Linked DNA regions of Yarrowia lipolytica. The protein of the gene in region 4 binds, or shares a complex with, the protein of the main gene of each other region. Links are inferred from orthologs where the notes say so. Each region holds a gene or a part of one and is shown on either strand. Other genes may lie near its edges.

Evidence for each region.
Region 1: YALI1_D03575g (region 4) and YALI1_B26451g share a complex: the UniProt entries of both Saccharomyces cerevisiae proteins name them as parts of the arp2/3 complex. The link is inferred for Yarrowia lipolytica from reciprocal best matches to the Saccharomyces cerevisiae genes ARC19 and ARC18.
Region 2: YALI1_D03575g (region 4) and YALI1_F20712g share a complex: the UniProt entries of both Saccharomyces cerevisiae proteins name them as parts of the arp2/3 complex. The link is inferred for Yarrowia lipolytica from reciprocal best matches to the Saccharomyces cerevisiae genes ARC19 and ARP2.
Region 3: YALI1_D03575g (region 4) and YALI1_E40540g share a complex: the UniProt entries of both Saccharomyces cerevisiae proteins name them as parts of the arp2/3 complex. The link is inferred for Yarrowia lipolytica from reciprocal best matches to the Saccharomyces cerevisiae genes ARC19 and ARP3.

Annotation. Positions count from the first base shown.
Region 1 is NC_090771.1:2,642,266-2,646,646, reverse strand, and holds YALI1_B26451g (uncharacterized protein), read right to left. Parts: upstream 1,571-4,381; coding exon 1,043-1,570; downstream 1-1,042. Other genes in the region: YALI1_B26517g (uncharacterized protein), read left to right, coding at 1-516; YALI1_B26430g (uncharacterized protein), read left to right, coding at 2,969-3,019, 3,579-4,381. UniProt on the Saccharomyces cerevisiae protein: Functions as a component of the Arp2/3 complex which is involved in regulation of actin polymerization and together with an activating nucleation-promoting factor (NPF) mediates the formation of branched actin networks.
Region 2 is NC_090775.1:2,068,533-2,073,337, forward strand, and holds YALI1_F20712g (uncharacterized protein), read left to right. Parts: upstream 1-2,708; coding exon 2,709-3,887; downstream 3,888-4,805. Other genes in the region: YALI1_F20669g (uncharacterized protein), read left to right, coding at 1-1,562; YALI1_F20742g (uncharacterized protein), read right to left, coding at 4,400-4,805. UniProt on the Saccharomyces cerevisiae protein: Functions as ATP-binding component of the Arp2/3 complex which is involved in regulation of actin polymerization and together with an activating nucleation-promoting factor (NPF) mediates the formation of branched actin networks.
Region 3 is NC_090774.1:4,051,660-4,057,074, forward strand, and holds YALI1_E40540g (uncharacterized protein), read right to left. Parts: upstream 2,904-5,415; coding exon 2,870-2,903; intron 2,323-2,869; coding exon 1,124-2,322; downstream 1-1,123. Other genes in the region: YALI1_E40502g (uncharacterized protein), read left to right, coding at 1-618. UniProt on the Saccharomyces cerevisiae protein: Functions as ATP-binding component of the Arp2/3 complex which is involved in regulation of actin polymerization and together with an activating nucleation-promoting factor (NPF) mediates the formation of branched actin networks.
Region 4 is NC_090773.1:355,991-361,952, forward strand, and holds YALI1_D03575g (uncharacterized protein), read right to left. Parts: upstream 3,643-5,962; coding exon 3,641-3,642; intron 2,383-3,640; coding exon 1,885-2,382; intron 1,578-1,884; coding exon 1,568-1,577; downstream 1-1,567. Other genes in the region: YALI1_D03561g (uncharacterized protein), read right to left, coding at 1-159; YALI1_D03604g (uncharacterized protein), read left to right, coding at 4,496-5,962. UniProt on the Saccharomyces cerevisiae protein: Functions as actin-binding component of the Arp2/3 complex which is involved in regulation of actin polymerization and together with an activating nucleation-promoting factor (NPF) mediates the formation of branched actin networks.

The DNA.
Region 1 (4,381 bases), on a different chromosome or scaffold from region 4:
CAGCGACAGCTGCAGCAACAGCAGCAACAGCAGGAATTCCAGCGCCAGCAAGAGTTCCAACGCCAAGAGCTGCAGCGTCAACAGGAGCTTAAACGACAGCAGGAGCTACAGCGTCAGCAGGACCTCCAGAGACAAGATCTTCAACGAAGTACCTACTCACCTTACATGCCTCCGCTGTCGCACACGCCTCCGCCACAGCAGAGCTCTCCCACTGGGTTTTCTCTGCCGCCCATCAACGCTCACACACCCCACGGGCCTCGGCAGACACTGCCGCCCTTGCCGATTCTGCAGCGGCCTTCGAAGACGTCGTCGATCACGTCGATTCTCAATGGCGATTCAAAGCCGAGTGGAGGACGTCCTGGAGGAATCACCCTGCCGCCTCTCAATGCCATGGCGGGTCCTCCTTCGGGTGCTCCCGGCGCGCCCGGCGCTCCCGGCACTCCCGGAGCTCCTCCAGGCATGTATCCTCCACGACAGCAGTCACCCCCAGGACCTTATCCACCTTATTGGCAGTAGAGAGGGGAGAGGAGGACACGAAGGACGGAAGGATAGCATGGATAAAGCGTGTTTATTTATATGTATTATATGAAGATTTAATTGAGTTGAGTGTAGGCGCTTGACAATGACTACTTGCAATTAGCACGGGTGCCTATGGCAACATCCCTACTGTATGTTGTAGTCTATCGCCACTTGTCATATTCAAAGTGTGAGAAAGATAAAACAAATAGACTGTATAGACTGGATCAATACAAGTACAAGCACACAGTACGAGTACGTAAAAGTACGAAAAAGTACGAGTACAATGTACATACTGATACACAGTGACAATACATTATTATACATACATACAGTTCATCCATACGACCAGCTCCTACAAAGTTACCTTATCATATCATTCATTAGTTACATTGTGTATCCAGGGCTTTAGTTTGTGCTCTGATGCACCTCTTCCTTCAGCTGTTTGGTGGAGATTCATCACCGGAGTTGCTTGTGTTTGTTCACCGCTCATACATTACCCGGCTGTGCCTAGTAATTCATTCGCTTACAAACTCTTGTTCATAAAATGCCTTCTGGTGAAAGCCAACCAGTACTTGTTGGGCTTGGAAGGGTCGTCCTTGTAGATCTTCTCAATCAGACGCTTTGCCAGCTCCTGTCTGAATTGCATCAGGTAGCCTCGCAGCAGTTCGACCTCATTTCGGTCTCGGGGAGGGGCGTAGAGAGAGTTCAGTGGGAAGCCGGCGTCTCCGGGAATGGAAAAGTGTTCCACAGCAGCAGTGTTCAGCAACTTGTTGGCCTCGTTGGCAGAAGTGGTAGGCTTGAGCTTTCCCAGACACTCGGACACAAAGAGAATGCCGTAAATGAGAGCCCGGTCGGCAGGGCCCTTGATCTCAAAGTTCTTAAAGAATGAGTTTGCTCGGAACAGATCCAGCACCTCGTCGATGATGTCGTAGTCGGCGTTGCTGGGGTAACTGGGGCCTCGGAATGACGTTTTGATGGGGAGGATAGCGAAATTGCCCACTACCCGGGTGTCCTGGTCCTCGCCGAGAAATGTACTGTTCAGAGCTGGCATTTTTGTGTCTGGTTGGATGTGTTAACGTTGGTGATGCGTTGGTAATGACAGGTTTGGGTGTGATGAGGTGGAGATAGCTGGTGAACTCTAATAATGGCGCAGTTAGAGGTGAAATTGCAAGGAATGGTGGGAGGTGAGATTTTGGTGACCGGAGGTAGGTGGATTGATGGAATGTCATAAGCCGATTCAATTGAGTGAATTGGAAATGTTTCGACCATGAATTCCGCTGATTACGAAGCGAACATTCGGAGGAAGGGGGTGCGGGTTGCTTCAGTAACATACTTGGATTTTACTTGGATGGCACTTGAGTTTGTTTTCTCAAATCACTCCCTCAGTTGATTGAACTTCAGATTTACTGTACCGTAGCTACTGTGTCAGATAAAGGTGTGACCGACTGTAGTGCCAGCCGGGTTGACTTGCGGGGAACCGGAGTTAAGAGAGTTCATTATCACACCCTGGTACAAGTACAAGTAGCCGATGTTCGTATTACAGTAGTAAGTGTCTCAATGTCAATACCGTAATGGCTATAATCGGGGAGGGGACGAGGATCATTCTGTAGGACACATGCCTACAATACAGTTGCACCTATCGTAGGTACAAGCAAGCTGTGTGGCAAGTGCGAGCGAACAGTTATTGAGTTAACAATTGAGTGGTTATCGTGCTTGAAGTTGAAAGGAATTGTTATCTACTTGTGGCTACACAAGGCACTATTTTCGGCTTCCAGCCACTCCCTTGCTCAACTGCTACAGGACCATCGGCTGACGGTCTTGAGTCTTCCGTGTTTATTGCTTTTTGGACTACTGTACCCCTGTGCTTATTAAGGACAAATGAGGTTAAGTGATGGACTGCATACGACGGACATAGTGAATATGACCGACAATGGTGGGTCAGAGAGGGGTACTTTTGGGTAGAAAGGTGACAGTAAAAGCCAGCAAATAGTTCATCACAGGCTATTATGACACACTGGAGGTGTTTGGACTTCTTCATCATCTCTCCAAAAAAGTATCTCGAGTACTCATACAAAGGTCTGCTCTTGTACAGTCTTCCCCAACCCTATTTTCTGACGTTTTCGGCAGTCCTATAAATGCCGAAAAAAAAGACAGATTTTCACGAGAAAAAAGACCACCGGTTCACCACATTGTAGCAAGTAATATAGACCGTACCGACCGGGTCAAGTTGCATGCGTCTCCCTCATAGCGCTCCATTTATTCCCCCCACACTAATACCGCAGGTGACTAAGCAACCTAAAGTTGGCACCACACAAACACAGCCTCGTGCGTCTTAGGGTACAGTACTACACTTTTTCAGAGCCCGCCAATCTCTACACCAGTTGTTGTTTGCACGACACAACGCCCCAAGAGACACACAACTAGTCACACTCGACCCAGGGCAGCTCAAATGGCGCAGGACGTGTTGGATATTCCTTTTACCGATATTCCGTCGATGCAGGTGAGTAGATGAGACATGAGGAGAAACCCTGATAGACACAGGCAATGGGTGATATGGACAGAAAGGAGACTGATGTGAACACAGAACCAGTGGCAAGCGAGACACAGACAGGCAGAAGAAGAGACCTAGAATTAGAAGCATCGACATGGCTCATATCCCAACAGTACAAGCGGTGTTCCTATCGTACCGCGCAGTTACACAGATGAGCGGATGGTTTAAGGGTGACGTGAAGGATATATTCAGATGAGATTGCTGTGGAATGTGCAGTAATTTCATTTGGTGAATGTTCACGACTGTACTGTTCCTATGGCGACATTTTAGCGACACTGTTTGACGTGGTTTGAGGGGAACCAAGGCGTACCAACGCATCGCACGACACATCACGACGTGGTGTAGAGCATACATGACGACACACTTAGGGCAAATCAAACCTACATCGACTCTAAGAATCGCCATATACAAATTATCACAGCCCATTCTTCTGCTCCACTAGCTACATCTCGTTGTCCGCCCTCGACTTTCGGACCCTCACACCTGTTGCTCCCGTATACTAACCAAGCGCATCCCCGCCTCGCGGTCCATGCAAAACCTCAACGAGCGGTATGAACAAGGCCAAGCCCCTCCCCAGGGCCAGACCAAACAGCCCCCCATGCAGCCCTCGCATCATGCCAATCCCCCACCCCAGCATCACCAGCAGCCACAGCAACACATGCCACCGCGACATTACCCGACCAACCGGCCACAGCCCGGACAGGCCCAGCAGCAGTCGCCGAGACAGTACCCGCAAGGCCAGCCTCAGGGACACACGGGCCAGACCCAGTATCCTTACGCTGTAGGACGACAGGGACAGCAGGCTCCTCCTCAGCATGCTTCCCAGCAGGTGCCCCAGCATGTTCCCCACGCGCCTCCCCAGCAGCACCACGGTCCTCCCCCGCAGAATCATGTTCCTCAGCTGCAGCACGGTCCTCCGCAACATGCTCCGCAACATGTTCCACCCCCGCATCAGCAGCAATACTCGCCTCAGAAGCACCCTCAGGGCGGCCAGGTCCAGGGAGGAAACATGCCCCCAACAAGTATGGGCCAGGGAATGACTCCTGGAGCACCGCAATACGGTGGCCAGCAGTTCTCACGACAGCAACAACCGCCACAGATCCAGACCCAGGCTAACCCTTACCACATTTCCCGGCGACCCCAGATGCGACACACCCAGTCGGCCACCTCTCCGACCTCCCCCTCCAACCCGTACTCGCAGTTCAGCCAGTTCAATCCGGGCAGATCAGTGTCTGGTGGACCTCAGCAGCATCACCCGGCTCACCAGCAGCAGTACGGACGGTCCATGTCTCTAACTCAGCAGTCGGTGGC
Region 2 (4,805 bases), on a different chromosome or scaffold from region 4:
ATGCGTACTCATATGGTCCTAACCAGTCATCCCCAACTCCCCCTCCAGTACCAACCACCCCGCCTCCGAAACCCCCCTCTGCAATGTCGTCTTCGTCGTCGCTCAACCTCCCACAATCAATGGCCCTATCTTCATCCACGTCGTTGCCGGATCCCAGCTCGTACAAAAATCAAATGTACTCATGTCATCCGTATCTCAACGAGCCCCTACCGGAGTCCAGGCACCACACACACGGCGTATCTCAGCCCGCCCAGGCTGCCCGGTCTTCGCATGGCTATTACTCCCATGCTCTTCCTCAGTTGTCGGTGAATACGGCCTCTTCACCGATCAAACAGCCGCCCAGTGCTTATTCGCCAAAAGAAAAACACAATGGCGAGTTCCCCAGTTACAAGAGTGTGCGCCAGCCTATCCCACAGTCGCCGTACCTGCCCCATCTTGCACCCATGTCCGGATCGCCTCCCCCCATGTCTCTGACCTTTACCACAGGTCTCAAGAACCTCGGAAACACCTGCTATATCAACTGCATCATCCAGTGTCTTGCCACATCGCAGCTGACCAAGATCATTGTGAATCAGGCATACAAGCATCGAGTCAACATGAAGTCAAAGCTGGGATACAAGGGAGCTTTGATTGCCAAGTATGCTGATCTCGTGCAGGCTCTAGTGGCGAACGCTTACCCTTACTTGGTCCCCACTTCCTTCAAAGGAATCATTGCACATGTCAACTCTCAGTTCAGCGGCATGGAGCAGCATGACTGTCAGGAATTTTTGACTTTCATTCTTGATGGCCTGCATGAGGAGCTCAACTCTGTGGGCGATGGTCAATACAAGCCCCGTGAGCTGACCGAGAGCGAGGAGAAGCGACGAGAGGAGATGAGTGTTCGAATTGTGTCATCTCTGGAGTGGGAGCGGTACCTCAAGTCCGCGTCTTCGTTTATTGTCGACGAATTTCAGGGCCAGTACCAATCAAAGCTCCAGTGTACTGTGTGCAAAATGACGTCGACGACATACACTGCATTCTCGTCGCTAACTCTGCCCATCCCCAAGTACGCTGGGGCCACTCTCCCAACGCTGTACGACTGCTTCAACCAGTTTACGCAGCCGGAGTTGCTGGAGGGCGAAAACATGTGGCAGTGCCCTACGTGCAAGAAGCCGCGGCCCACTATCAAGTCTATGAAGATCTCGCGGCTTCCAGAAACTTTGATCATCCATCTCAAGCGGTTCGACCACTCACGGGGCTATGGAGACAAGCTCAACACGTTTGTTACGTACCCTCTGGAGATGGATCTCACGCGGTATTGGCCTCCGCCCACATCGGAGGACGAGCCCTTCTTGAAGAAGCTGCTTCCTCGTGGCCAGACGGCTCCTTTCCGGTACTCACTGTTTGGAGTGGCCAACCATTACGGAACGCTGCGCGGGGGTCATTACACGTCGTTCTGCAAGCGTGGCAAGCTCGGATGGTGCTACTTTGACGATACGGTGGTGAACAGAAACGTGAACGAGCGAGCCGTTGTTAACAAGAATGCGTATGTGTTGTTCTACCAGCGCCGGCACAATCCTTAGACTTCTCAGAGACACGGTAGGCGATATACAATGAGGGGACGAAAAGCATCTTGAAAAATATGCATATAGCTATTTATATAACGAATTATGATTGCATGATAACATGGCTTTGGTGGAGGGCAGGTGTGTACATCACACTGGTTGTTGTAAGTTTAGTTATGTACTTGATGGTTGATTACGCCTATGACTGTCTCACCTCTATAGTTCGGAGATACGGAGTCTTGGAAGTGATGTTTTCAACAAGGTCTGACTATTGATTGATTATTACGTGCCAGGTACTAAAAGAAAACGTGAGCAATTCTTGGCATTTTTCTATTAGTAATATTTTTCCATTAGTAATAATAAATATCAAGCGATCAACCAAAGTATTTTGGTCGTTTTGTTTCAGATAAGTGTTGATGTAGCACTGCAACAAGCTACAACCATGAGTGAACAGTATGTACTGGATGTAAGAGTATTAGTATGAGTACATTGTATATGGATGGTGGGGTGAAGAGGAGATTGTTTTATTAGCACAACCCTTAAGCGTACAGTATCCGCGTTCCCCGACTGGGGGCCGTAGCTATTACTATTTTTTTTTTTTGTTTTTTATTTTTTTTTTTATTTTTATTATTTTTATTATTATTTATATTATTTATTATTATTATTTTATTATTATTATTATTTTTTTTATTATTTTTTATTATTTTTTATTATTTTTTTATTATTTTTTATTATTTTTTATGCTTCTTTTTTTTTTCTCTTTTTCTGCTTCTTTTTCTGCTCTTTTTTACCCTTTTTCAGCTGTTTTTCTGCCCTTTTTTACTCTATTTGAACATCTCCGACATTTCGCGGCCTGGAAATAAAGTTGTCCAGGCTGGCTAGATGGAGATAGCAATTCGGAGGTGGGATGGGAGGTGAGCTGGAGCTCGGTGTTGAGATAAGAAAGTGTATAGAAGGGCGTGTTTGAGACGCAATTAGTAAGAGAGAGACCCAATTGAGCTATTTGGGGTGTACTGGTCGCATTGTCACATCCATCTGGCCATGTCAGCCTACAAAACAACGGTTTTTTGCAGGCTCGTCGAGGGTGGCTGACTAATAAACTCCCGCATACAGCGCTCTCGACAGTGCATGACATCCACCCTCCATCCACACCACTGAGCGAATATGAGCGAACAACCAATTGTGCTAGATCAAGGAACCGGCTTTGTGAAAATCGGCTACGGAGGCACCAACTTCCCCGAACACACCTTCCCGTCGATGGTGGGTCGGCCCATTCTGCGGGCTGAAGAGCGGGCCACAGACACATACGGCGACGTGGCCATCAAGGACATTATGTGTGGAGACGAGGCTGCCGCGGCACGAAACATGCTGCAGATCTCGTACCCGATGGAGAACGGAGTGATTCGAAACTGGGAAGACATGGGTCACCTGTGGAACCACTCGTTTTACGACAAGATGAAGATTGACACCCGGGGTCGAAAGGTGCTGCTCACAGAGCCTCCCATGAACCCCCTCAAGAACCGGGAAAAGATGTGCGAGATCATGTTTGAGCACTACGGCTTCAATGGCGTTTATGTAGCCATCCAGGCCGTCCTGGCTCTGTACGCACAGGGCCTGTCGTCAGGAGTGGTGGTGGACTCTGGAGACGGTGTTACCCACGTGGTGCCTGTCTACGAGTCTGTGGTGCTCAACCACCTGACCCGTCGTCTGGACGTCGCTGGTCGAGATGTCACCCGACAGCTGATTGCTCTGCTACTGCGACGAGGATACGCCTTCAACCGAACTGCCGACTTCGAGACCGTGCGACAGATCAAGGAGAAGTTCTGCTACGTCTCCTACGACCTGGACCTCGACACAAAGCTCGCCAACGAAACCACTGCTCTGGTCGACACCTACGAACTTCCTGACGGCCGAACCATCAAGCTGGGATCAGAGCGATTCGAGGCCCCCGAGTGTCTGTTCCAGCCCCATCTGGTCGACTCGGAACAGCCTGGAATCGCCGAGACGCTGTTCAACACTATCCAGGCCGCCGACATTGATGTGCGATCGTCGCTGTACAAAGCCATTGTGTTGTCTGGAGGTTCGTCCATGTATCCCGGTCTGCCATCCCGAATGGAGAAGGAGCTCAAGCAGCTGTGGCTCACCCGGGTGCTTAACGGCGACCCCACCCGACTCAACAACTTCAAGGTCAAAATTGAGGACCCCCCTCGACGACGACATATGGTCTTCCTGGGAGGTGCCGTGCTTGCTAACATTATGCATGACAAGGAGCACATGTGGATCTCCAAACAAGAGTGGGAGGAGCAGGGCCCCGCATGCCTGGCCAAGCTTGGTCCCAGATAAGCGGCAACTCCAGCTACAACCCTGCATTGACAGTATCAACCTAACACTGTCGATGAAGGAACTATGTATGTTATATGATGAAACGATTGACGAACTGTACTAGCTGTGTAGCAGCGAGTGCAGTGGATGTAGCAGCAGAGCTACAGAGCGCCCAACTTGCCGCGAGTCTTATTGTACGATTAGTGTAGGCTGTCAGATGGGCATTTGCAAGTATTAACTGTTATCTGTGGATATATTGTTGATTGTCAGTGCACTGTATGCCATGTCAAATTGCTAATTAATCATTTGTGCGTGATCAACTGACCCTTCACCTTCACAGATCACATCGTCACTTCTCTCGTCTTCATTCCAAATGGGATGCAGAGTTATGACGCTGCTTCCAACTATTCAGTGGACCGCAATACTCCACCACTCGTAGCTATTTCTCAGTTCCGCACTTGTCCATCCTTCTCTACTCAACTCATAAAATCGTATTATCTATTCATTAATCATTATATCGCCTTTGGCAAGGACTAGGCCCACTTTCCGATGAGGGACATACAAATCATGCCTCCAACCAGACCCGACATTGCGAAAAAGACTCGCTTTTTGGGTGCAAAAGAAAGATCTCCAAACAGCCAGTCGAACGCCAACATCTCCACAACTCCAGCCCAAATGAGCACGCCAGCAGACAGAGCCGAGATGGTTCCAATGGCCCAAATGGTGGCAGGGTCGTTGGAGTTCATGGAGTCCATGACACCGAGACCAATAGCCATGCCGATGGGAGTGATGATGGTGAAATAGGTGCACATGCTCATTTTGAAGAACAGAGACGAGTCACGAAGTCCGGCGATTCGAGACCCAAGGCCGATACCTTCGAACGCCTGGTGGAACAGAATGGCGATGAACAGAGAAATGAAGCCGTCATCGTCGGCAATT
Region 3 (5,415 bases), on a different chromosome or scaffold from region 4:
AAGGGCAACTCTCCCCAGCAGAACATTGCCAACGTTCCCGCCTACCTCAATGTTGGAAAGGCCCAGGCTGATTCTATTGTCGGCGAGTTCTCCTGTGTCTTCTCCGAGGAGACCTGGGCTAAGGCCGGCGGTGAGGACCGAGAGCAGCTTGCCATCAAGTACGGCCAGGTTCAAATTGAGTCCTTCAACCAGAATGCCCGAGCCGGATGGTTCTTCTGGACTTACAAGTTCCAGTACGGCGATGGAGGCGATTGGGGCTTCAAACCCATGACCCAGAAGGGCGCCCTCCCGACCTTCTCCAACGGAGGCTCCAACAAGGATCCCAAGGCCGGCATCAAGGAGGCAGCCACCAAGGCTACCGAGGAGCACTCTGCCTACTGGGACCAGCATCAGGGTAACTACGAGCACTGGCGATACGCCGATGGATACGTTTCGGGATGGCAGGACGCTGCCGCCTTCTACGAGTTCCACGGCTCCACCATTGGCCGAATCAACGCCTGGCAGGACGCCCGACGAGCCCAGCACATTGCTGCTAAGGGTAACTCCGGTGCCATCTGGGAGTGGGACCAGGGCTTCGACGCTGGTATTCAGGGTCTGCTCAACTACATGCGATCTTAAGCAGATCGCTAGGGCCACTTCAAAACACTTTACGACTCTACAATCACGACTTTTCACAACCACATTCTTCTCTGACTTTCACGGTCTATCGATTGGTAGATCTCTATTTATTCTTTAGCATTTTCTGAATACATTTATTAGATATAATTACACACAGACAGTAGCTTCAAGTAGCGACCAGTAGCAGTAGCAATAACAGCAGACAGGAGCAACGGAGTAGGAAAAGCCACAATAACCACAACGTGCTGCCATTGGCTTGTGCACCAACGTCAACTGCACTATTATCTCGGATATTACGCACTCTTGGCACAGGACACTACGTAATACGTAGGGTCATTGGCTCTTGAGACGAGAATTCTTTCATCAGTATTCTTATAATTAATTATCAACATAGTGTACACATAGCCTTCTATAGTACACCCAACATTTCTACCAACTCACCTCGTGTATCATGACACTGGGCTGGATCAATCGTTATATCATAAATGTACACTACATACAATCCCTAGACCATGGAAAACAGAGAAAAGTTTCGCACAATACCAGGTCCCATCTCGTCGTAATCCTGCTTGGTGTAGCAGTAGTTCTTGAACTCGGGAGTAGAAGACAGCAGAGATCCTCCATACCATACAGCGTTTCGCTGCTTGGAGTGTGAGATGACCTTCACATCGACTCCCGAAGACTTGACTCCGGTCGCCCGCTGGTTAGCAGCAAGTCGATCGTCAGCAAGAGTTCGAATGTCTCGCTGCAGACGTCGGCCGAAATCCTTGAACATGGTTGATCCTCCAGACAGAACAATGTTCTTGTAGAGACCTCGTCGCACATCAATGGGCGAGGACTGGACCACGGTGTCGACCACCTCGGACAGAGGGGTCAGGAAGTCGGACGAGGCAATTTCGGGATTGAAGAAGATCTCAGGGGCCAAAAATCGCTCGTATCCAACATCCACGGTGGCTCGTCGATGCAGACCCTGGTCGGCCATGTACTTTTGGAATCGGTCAGGGTCGTTGTCGAATCGGTTGAACTCCTTGACAATGTCCGGACACACATAACAGTAGTTCTCCTTGATCTGCTCTGCGGTCTTGAGCGACGTGTCGGGCTCGTTTCGGTCTCGAAGCATGTTCTGAATGAAGTAGGTGATGTCTCGGCCCGCAATGGGGATGGACTTGATGGCCGAGCCGATAACGTAACCCTCGGCGACAGGGATCACGTGGGTGACACCGTCTCCGGAGTCGATGACGGTTCCGGTCAGAGATCGATCAGTCACCTTGTTGGAAGTCCAAGATGCGGCCAGAGCCAGGACAGCCTGTACGGCAATGTAGAGACCGGCACAGTTGAAAGACTCAAACATGATCTCGGCGGTGTTTTCTCGGTTCTCGGGGGGATTGAGAGGAGGCTCAGTTAGCAGGAAATGATGATCTTCGGGCTCGCATCGCAAGTATTTGAAAATCGAGTTCTCCCAGAACCGCTCCATGTGATCCCAGTTTTCAATCTGACCGTGTCGAATGGGATAGTTGACCGAGTAGGCAGGGCCGTTGGCGGCGGCGAGGGCCTCGTCGCCAATGTAAAAGTCGAGGTCTTCGGTACCCTTACGACTGATGTTGCCGCCGGAAGATCCTTTGGCGGTGGCAATCACTGTAGGGAAGACGAAAGAGGGGGCATCGTTACCGGCAAAACCGAGTTTTGTGTAACCGGTACCGCTGTAGTTAGTATATGTTTGGTCGTGGGTGGGCTGGGATGAATGACAGGCTATGGTGTTGATGTTGCCTTTCACACCACACAATCACATATCAATGTGGGGTATCGGGTTTGCGTAGATGATACAAAGAGGACTTGAAACAAATATGACGGGTTATGTTTTCTCTGATGATATGATAACATAATCTTAGTGTAGCCACTGATCGCTTCCGTTGCTGTATGTTTCTGACTGTATCGTTATGTCGTTGTGTCTTCGTCGATGTAGATGTCGATGTATCAATATCGACATGCGGCCTGTGTCCAAAGATCGATTGAAGAACCATAGTTGGTTATGACATTCCACAACAGCCATCATCGTCTGTCAGCACTCTCTTGTTCCTTCTCATTTCTCTCATTCTCATTCTGTTCATCATCACCATCATCCCACAGCATAACCCTCATCACCTCTCCAAAATGTCTCAATGGAGATAAACCACTGAATTACTCACTTGTCTGAAGTTAGTAGAGTCCCCTTGAAAATCCTGCCGTGTCCATCCAGTCACGCGATACTCACCCATGACAACCGCAGGGGTTCCCAGATGCGCCATTGTTGCTCAATTGATTTTTTGTTAGCAGATGATGCTCAAGGGCTGGTGTCGGGATGTATGTGCTGTAACTGACAAGCAGTGTTGCGGCATATAGAGTTACCCGGTAGTGGCCACCTGTAATTTGGGTGTGCGGTGCGAAGTGGGAGGACCGGAGATAATGCGTGTTTAGTGCAGTCTGATATGGTGCAGTGACATGTCCGAAATATCATGTGATTGCTTTCAAGTGAACTAGGGAGGAGTGATAGTTGACATTCAGAAGATCTGTCGTCAATTTATTGCTTTTTTTGTGTACTTCATGGTCTATGATTGACCCATGGTTGCTTCTGGGGTGATCCACCGCTTAATAATCCACGATAGAGACGCAAGATAGAAACGCACAGGTTGAGCACCGGGATGGAAAATAGGTATACGTTGATAGGAAAGTCATCAGGGGGAGCACTGGAATCAGGAAGATGTATTTTTTTCTCTTGAATTGGTTCCTAGTGTGATTGGAACATTGATTGAATCATGGCACCAAGACCACGGGACTTGGTTAGGATTACTTTGGTGTGAAAAAGTTTAGTTGGAATGACACTTATTAAATGTTTATTATTCTTCTAATACCCAAGTGGTCTAATTGGGTGGTGGTCGACGACTGTTGGTCTCAAAAGACACAGTATGACGGATACACCACTTTCAACGGTATGAAAAGTATACACCATACACACAAGTTGGTAGCAATTTGTCAGCTGTGAATATAATAATGGCACACGTCTTTTTGCACTACTGTGTGTACTGTATTCCCTTTGAGAAGATGGAGGTTACTGTTTCTACAGTTAGTTAGGCGGATCATGTATCACTCTGAGAGAGCTCGATAAGTATGACATAAAATGCAGTTTTGTTGGTTTGTCATATCTAACGCATTTATATGCATGGAAAGGACCTTCTATCTCACTTTTCGTACATACTGTATACTGTACTTGTATCCCACCAGCTTCACCCTTTAACGATTGACCCAAGTATTGGCGTATCCCAGTTGGCTTCTTAGTTTAACTCTGAAGGGTCTCTGCCTCATGTATTGAAGGAGAAAGACTGCTCCCGCCATACCTCAAATGTACTTGTAGCTTTTCCATGTCGGCCTTCAGTATACTCTCGTACTTGTACTGCTGTTCATCTTTATAACCATCAAACTTTTCCTATCCACGTGTACCGGCTCTTGTAGGTACAAGTGTGTTTTTCCACGGCTAAAAGACCAATAACACCTATGTGTATCGTCTTTCACAACAGTCAGTTCACTGTCTCAGTTTCACGAACCATTTTTTTATTTTTTTTTGGTTCTCTCGCTCTTGTAATTTGCATGCAACACATTCACACGGCTATAAATAGGAACTACTTGTAGTGGAGACAACTGAAAACACTCGAGAGGAGACGACGATATAGAAGACCGCTAAAGTCATTGATACAGGAGCTACCAGGAATTTATTTCGCCAAACTGACTCTGACATACTGAAAAATTCACCTATCATGTTTGTTAGTCTCAATATTCATTCTCCGACCACGACTAGTGTGGCGTATATACTAAAACACTTGTTACGTGTGACACCAAACATACGCCTAATTACCAGATGGTGTACAGCGAAGAACACTAAATACGAGGGTTGGAGAGCCATAAAAACAACGGAAGACCCAGGAAAGTCTTCTATATATATATGTCTGGAAAATACCTCTCAGATTTTTACGGCTCCAAACGTCACCCAACAGCCATAACATAAGTACAAGTACTCGTATTGTACGACTCGTACAGATATGCGTTTCATGTTTCAGATCCACGCGTAGCCACACAGACACAACTTTGGGAGCGCTAAGGTTTTTATGAAGCAGTGCCCACTTGGATCGACAAGGAGGGTTCGATGTGGAGATAGAATGACAGAGGGGGACCGTTTGGGGAAATTCTGGGTTATTGTAATCAATTTCAACCCTTTGTAACAGTAGAACTCGCTGTAAAATTGGCACATTTCCACTTGTATCACTTTTACACGCGCTCCCCCTTTTTCTTACCTAGGGGCTCTGGACTATGTGAACACAGGGAAATTATCTGCCGAGTTTAACCTTGGGTAGTAGGTGGGTATGCACTATGGTGCACAGGTGGGTGAGATGTTGAGACCAACCACTTGGAGCCTCATCGCTGGGGCTGTTTGAGGACAGAGGACAAACCGAACCACCCGGAGCATAATTTTTGCATACAACAACCCCTTCGACTGTCCATCTTCCAACACCGACTCAGACACAAGTCGACATCGACTCTGCATCAGCATTACATCATCGGACTGACAACGGACAACGAGAGAGTGACTATTTGTAAGACTGCTCTTGGCGATACAAACAACTTCACAAGAGGACAATACAGACAAGATAGACGGCTCTCGAAAGATATTCAGTACGACGGCGTACATCTTTTCACGCAACATATCATTTCCTCTTGCACACCACCTAAACGAGTTGAATCAGTAAGTCATCTCACTCCTATCTCATC
Region 4 (5,962 bases):
CCCGCCAGCGTTAAAGTAGCCCGGAATCGACGGCCGCCGCGAGGAGTCCGTCTTATACATGATTCCGCTTTCACGGCCGTAAAAGGTGCTGTCGTCGAGAGCAGGGACATCGGGAGACTTATTGGGCGAGTTCCCGAGGTCGAAGAATTCGTTTTTCATCACTCCAGCAAGAGCAAAGCCAGTTTGGAGTCGTTTGGAGGCCAAAATGCGCCGTGCGAAATCGTCGGGTGTGTGGGTCGAGATTCCACCGTTCTGAGTCGCGTTTTTGCTCGCAATCTGTCTGTCGCACTTCTGAGCTCTCTCAGTTTGTGTTTTTGTTCAAAATCCACCTACTTGCGGCCGGGCTAGGTCTGTTTGTGTCGCTGAAAAAATGTCCGTTTCTGTTTGTGTCGTTTCCAGACCGATTTTTGCAATAAAATCGTTTGTGAAGGGTTCCGTGGATTCAACGTTGTCTAGTGTCGCTTCGTAGGGACGTTTTTTCGCTATTTTCCGCCCGTTTTCGCCGTTTTTGTGTCGTCTTCAAAATTCTTCTCAGACGTTGTAAATGTCACCGAAAATGTCAAGAGTGGTCGTGCATACCCCACGATATGAAACCTTAATCAGAGTACGAGATGATGAGTCATCGGAGGTGGTTTAGAGAGCATGCACGTGACCGAAGAAGGGACGGGGTGTCCACATTACTGCCGAATCAGTAGGTCACGTGGTAATGCCTCCGTTTTTGTTGTTCCTCGCTGTCCGGGCGCGAGCGCTAGCTACCGGCTTAGTCACTATCAAATCATCGACCAAATAAATATAATATTTAACGTTTGACTAAGCGGGCCTCTGTCAAACGACAATTAAAATTCAGAGGGATTGGTGGGAGATAAGAATGCGGCGTGGGGCTTGAAGACAGAGGCAGACTTATGTAATCGGGGGATTGAGGAAATCGGTGCGTCGAGAGAACGGAGAACAATATTACTAAGATTTTTGGTGGTTTTTATTTGCAAATATGTGTTTATTTGTTTATTTATTTATTTGTTTATTTGTTTATTTATTTGTTTATTTTTTGTTTATTTGTTTATTTTTTTTTTATTATTCTCTCTTTAAAAATATAATATTATTACTTTAATATTTAGCTAGTCCAAACTGTATCTGCTCGTATAATTGACTCAGAAACGCAGTTGAAACGGAGTGGATAAGACGTGTCCGGACTAGTCTGAGTATTACAGGAATTAATGGTGCTGACTAAAGATGACTACTGCATATTGTGGTGGATCTGAAAATGGAAATGTTTGTGAATATCTCAAGGGGGAGTGCTTTTTTAAACCAAACAAGAGTTGTCCCATTGTGTTCAGGAAGAAGCAGAATGACTAAGCAAAATAAGCACTATTCTGATTAAGCAGAGAATGCATGGAGCGCTCTTTTCACCATTATGACTCTCATCTGTCTTTTTAATGGCCATGAGTGATATTGCAGTACTTGTACTTGTAACCATATCGGAGACATGATACCTGGCCATTAAAAGTACGGCTCGGACTTTTCATTAAACATCGTTACGCTATATAGTTACAGTACAGGTGAGTACAGGTTAGTCGAACTGTGTTAGTAAAGAGAGAAGGGAAGGTCATTGTGAGGTCATTGAGCATAGCGGAATGTGAAGATGTGGTAAGCAGTTCTGAACAGTCCTGCTCCTCAGACACTCAGATCATACATCTCCAACCACATTGCTGAAACTCAAACTGTCAGACTACCATCAACGAGTAACTCGAAAATGATAGTCCCACTGTCAGAGTTCTCACAATGATCAAATATCACTCGTGTTTTGAACTCTTGATCATTCGTTGCGCTCATGATCTGGTCATTTACAAGTAGCTCGCTACGCTCACTAGTTGATCTGTACTCACCGCAACCAAATAACTCTCTGCGATAAATCGCGCTCTGGCATTGAGCACCAGCTTCATCTCACTGATCTCCTTGTCGACCACCTCCATAAACTCAATGATAAAGTCCACCAGCTTGTGCTTGAGCATGGTCTCGGTGTGGAAGTTTGTGATGAGGAACGAAATGCTGTATCCAGGCACGGGTTTTCGTCGCAGAATGTAGAAAGACTCGGCTCGGCCGGTCAGGAACCGCGTGAACTGGTGCACGAGAATCCGTTCAATCTCGTCCGCCTGCTTGATTCGAATCGACACTCGCACCGAGTTGATGGATGGCTCGATCAGCACCATTTCGTTTTCGTTTCGCGCAATGGTCATAGGGTTGAGCAGCGCCTCAGCTGACTTGCCGGACTCCACCTCGGGCACATTGTGTCGCTCTGCCACCTGCGAGCCAAAGTCTTCCAGACAGAGGGCTGCTGTGAGAGAGGTACGTACGGCAAGAAGGTAGGGTCGGAGGGATTGGGACTGGGTTAGCGCATGTCACAATAGATGCGTAGAGCGATTCAAAAAAAAAGTCGCTGAGTGAGGTGACCTGTTTCAAGGTGTCTTCAACGGAGTTTAGATGCGAACTATGACACTCGATGTAGGATCCCAACAATCATGTTACACCGGGAGAGGCGGAGAGCCGGGAGAGCTGCAAGGTGATGACTAGGTCCACCACAGGGGCCAACTTGGCAGATGAACACATCGACAGACACCGGCGCTGACGAGTTCAGAGATGTCGACGGTAGAAGTCAACAGGGTAGAACTCAACAGTGGCAGTCATAGTCTTTTAGGGTCACCGGACGTCATTAAGGGTGACTGGAGGAGTCATCGGAGTAGTCATCGGAGGAGTCATAGGAGGTATTGAAACAGTCACCACTGGGTCATTGAAGGAGTCATCATCTCTGACGACTCAGAGCCAGCCAACTATGAGCAAGTGACAGTAGAGCGATCAGAACGACGCTAGCGGACACACCTGAGTATCGCGCGCACTGGTAGAGTGCAGATCGGTGCAAGTGGTCGGTGGGGAAAGTGAGGGAGGGGGAGGAGGTGACCGTCAACGGCATAGTCAGGGTATCATCAGGAAGCGCTCTGTGTCGTAATTGCCGTAGCTGTCGTTGTCGTTGTCGTTGTCGCAATGGCGGTCGCAGTGTCATATCTCAAGACAGACACTCTAAGCACAGAAGCACCGTAGAGTCACTCGAAGTAGCCAGAACTCGTCATAGTCAACTGGAGCCCGCAAAAGGACATGTTGCTGGTATATGTAGTGAAAGACATGTTCAACGTAGTGGCCACTTGAACTCCACTGTCGACAGAACTAGACAATCATCAGAATGAACCAACAGCGATGACTGAACCACCACATCCCATCCGGCTCATTAACTATAGTCGACTCATTGACCCACTGAATTATGGCGCACAACACACTCAATCTCACCAACAAGATGGATCAAAACAACTCATCTGGAGCCATCAGTCAATCGGAACTCGCCACGTCATCAGAGACCCAACAGACACAGATCCGCTCGCCACAAAATGACATAAATGCGCTCATCAAAAACCCCCGTAGCTCGGCAAAGGACATAGAACCCATGAGCCTCTGGTCCCTCCTCAAATCCCCCGGCTCCATCCCCTCAAATCCCCCGGCTCCATACCCTAAACAATCAATGACCCTAACACTCATTTTGTCGTATTTTGCGCATCGAAAATCGCCCTTTTCGCCCCCTTTCGCTATACTCACCATCTCGGTCGGGTCGGTTGCGCTATTAGTCGTGCGTATGTAGAGGTACCGTATGCATCTCCAGAGTATTATTAGGTGGTGATTGGGAACCCTAACCCTGGATTTTGGGGTGGCATTTTCGAGGAATATTTGGGAGCGGAGTCGGTGTGAGTAAGGAATATTACAGGAAATAAATCCGTTTTAAAAATTCAATTAGATAAAAAAAGGAGTATATTGAGGTATATCTTGATGGATATTTGAGATATATTGAAATGGAGAGAATTAATGGATTCCCCCCTTCATGGGCTTTCATACCAAGATGATGACACATTTGTTTTTTTTTGTCAATTTTTTTGAGGTCTTAATACCATCTATCGTCTCACAGTTTTGTTTTTTTGAAAAAAAAATATCTATATATATTTATAAATAGCATTTTTAATCTATATATTTTTAGTTTTCAATGGAATAATTTAGTTGGGGATTTAATCCGTAATTTTTTTATTTTTTTTAATTTAGTTGACTTAGATGGGTAAACAGAGAACCTTCCAGATGCTGGAGTTTTGGTTGAGAACATTGGTAGAGTGACTACTTATGTTATCACGTGACATATTTTGATTATTTTCTCTTTTCTTTATATAAACGAATTTTGATTTTAATTCAATTATTTTTCAATTTCCTTTTAATTTAATTTTAATTCAATTTTAATTCAACCAAACAATTTTTTATCCATTTTTCAATTCTTCTTCTTCATTCCTCCAACTACTTACAATTTTCTTTATCATTTTCCATTTATCAACTAATTGGTTTTCTCATTAAAGTTCAACTCTATCTACTCACCCTCCTAATATCCAACATCACCCAGCTCCATCACCACAAAATGACCTGGCAAGAACACAAGGCGGAGGACGGACGAACGTACTACTTCGACCCGGAAACGCAAAACTCGACGTGGGACAAGCCCGAGGAGCTCTTCACGGAGCGCGAAATCGCCCTCAAACGCACAAACTGGAAGGAATACACCGCCGAGGGAGGCCGCAAATACTGGTTCAACACCGAGTCCAAGGAAAGTGTGTGGGTGTTTCCCGCAGATGCCGAAGCGATTCTTCAGGGAGAAGCGGCGGCCGATGAGTCGATTCCCAAAGAACCCCGAGAGGTGCGAGAACAGCGTGGTCGAGAAAAACGAGAGGAACATTTACCGTCTCTGAGCTCGATTGCGCCGGATAATGTGCAGCAGCAGTTCAAGGGAGGCAGTTCCGAGGAGATTGAGGCGTCTTACAAACAGCTGATGGCCGACAAGGAGGTCGACAGTAGCTGGACGGTTCAGAAGCTGATGAAAGAGTGTCTTGAAGACCCCCGATACTGGGCTGTGCGAGACGCTCTGAGACGGCGGGAACTGTTTGAGGAGTTTCTGACCGAGATTGAGCAGAAGGAGGTCCAGGAGACGTTGGATAAACGCCTGGAGTACCAGCAGAGAGTCTATGATTTGTTTGAACAGTCCAACAAGATTGGGCCGTATTCTCGCTGGATCAGCGTGGAAGAAGAGTTCCGCGACGACCCACTGTTCCACACAGGTCACGTGGACGACCGTAAACTGGCGCTCGCAAAATATGTCCGTTTTTTGAACGAACAGGAGCAGAAAAAAACCGCCGAGATCAAGGCCGCCGGAAAACAATTTCTCAAGTCCGTGCTGCAAATCGACATTGTCAAATCTACCTGGAACGATACCCTGAGAGATATCAAGTCGAGATCGGCGGAACTTGCTGCCGAGAGGCCGGAAATGCGACTGCTCAACAAGATGGACTTGCTGGACGTCTATTCAAAGACAATCGAAGAGAAGGAAGCCGAGTTGGTGGAACAGATTGAACAGAAATCCGCCGTCGCTGCCAGACAGGCCAGAATAGCCCGCCAACAGTTTGTCAAACTGCTCTCCGAACAGGTCGACAAGGGCCATATCGTCTACACCACCAAATGGAAGGAGCTGGTGGACTACATCAAGGACGATGTGCGATTCCAGAACCTGTGTGGAATCAGACACTCATCCACACCGCTGGACCTCTTCTGGGACGTGATTGAGGTCGAAAACAGACGGGTCCGAAACCTGAGGACCATCGCCCAGGGATATCTGACAAGCGAGGGCAAAAATATCGACAGCCTGACCCTCGACGAATTTGGCCACCTGATCGCAGCGTGCTCGGACTACACCACCAATCTCGAACATCCTCGGTACACCCAGCAGGTCTACAATGCTCTCAAGGACTCGGATTTCGAAATCGACCGGTTTGCTTCAGATCGAAAGCTGCGACGACTTCAGGACGACTTCCGGTACGCCCTGAGAGACATGGAG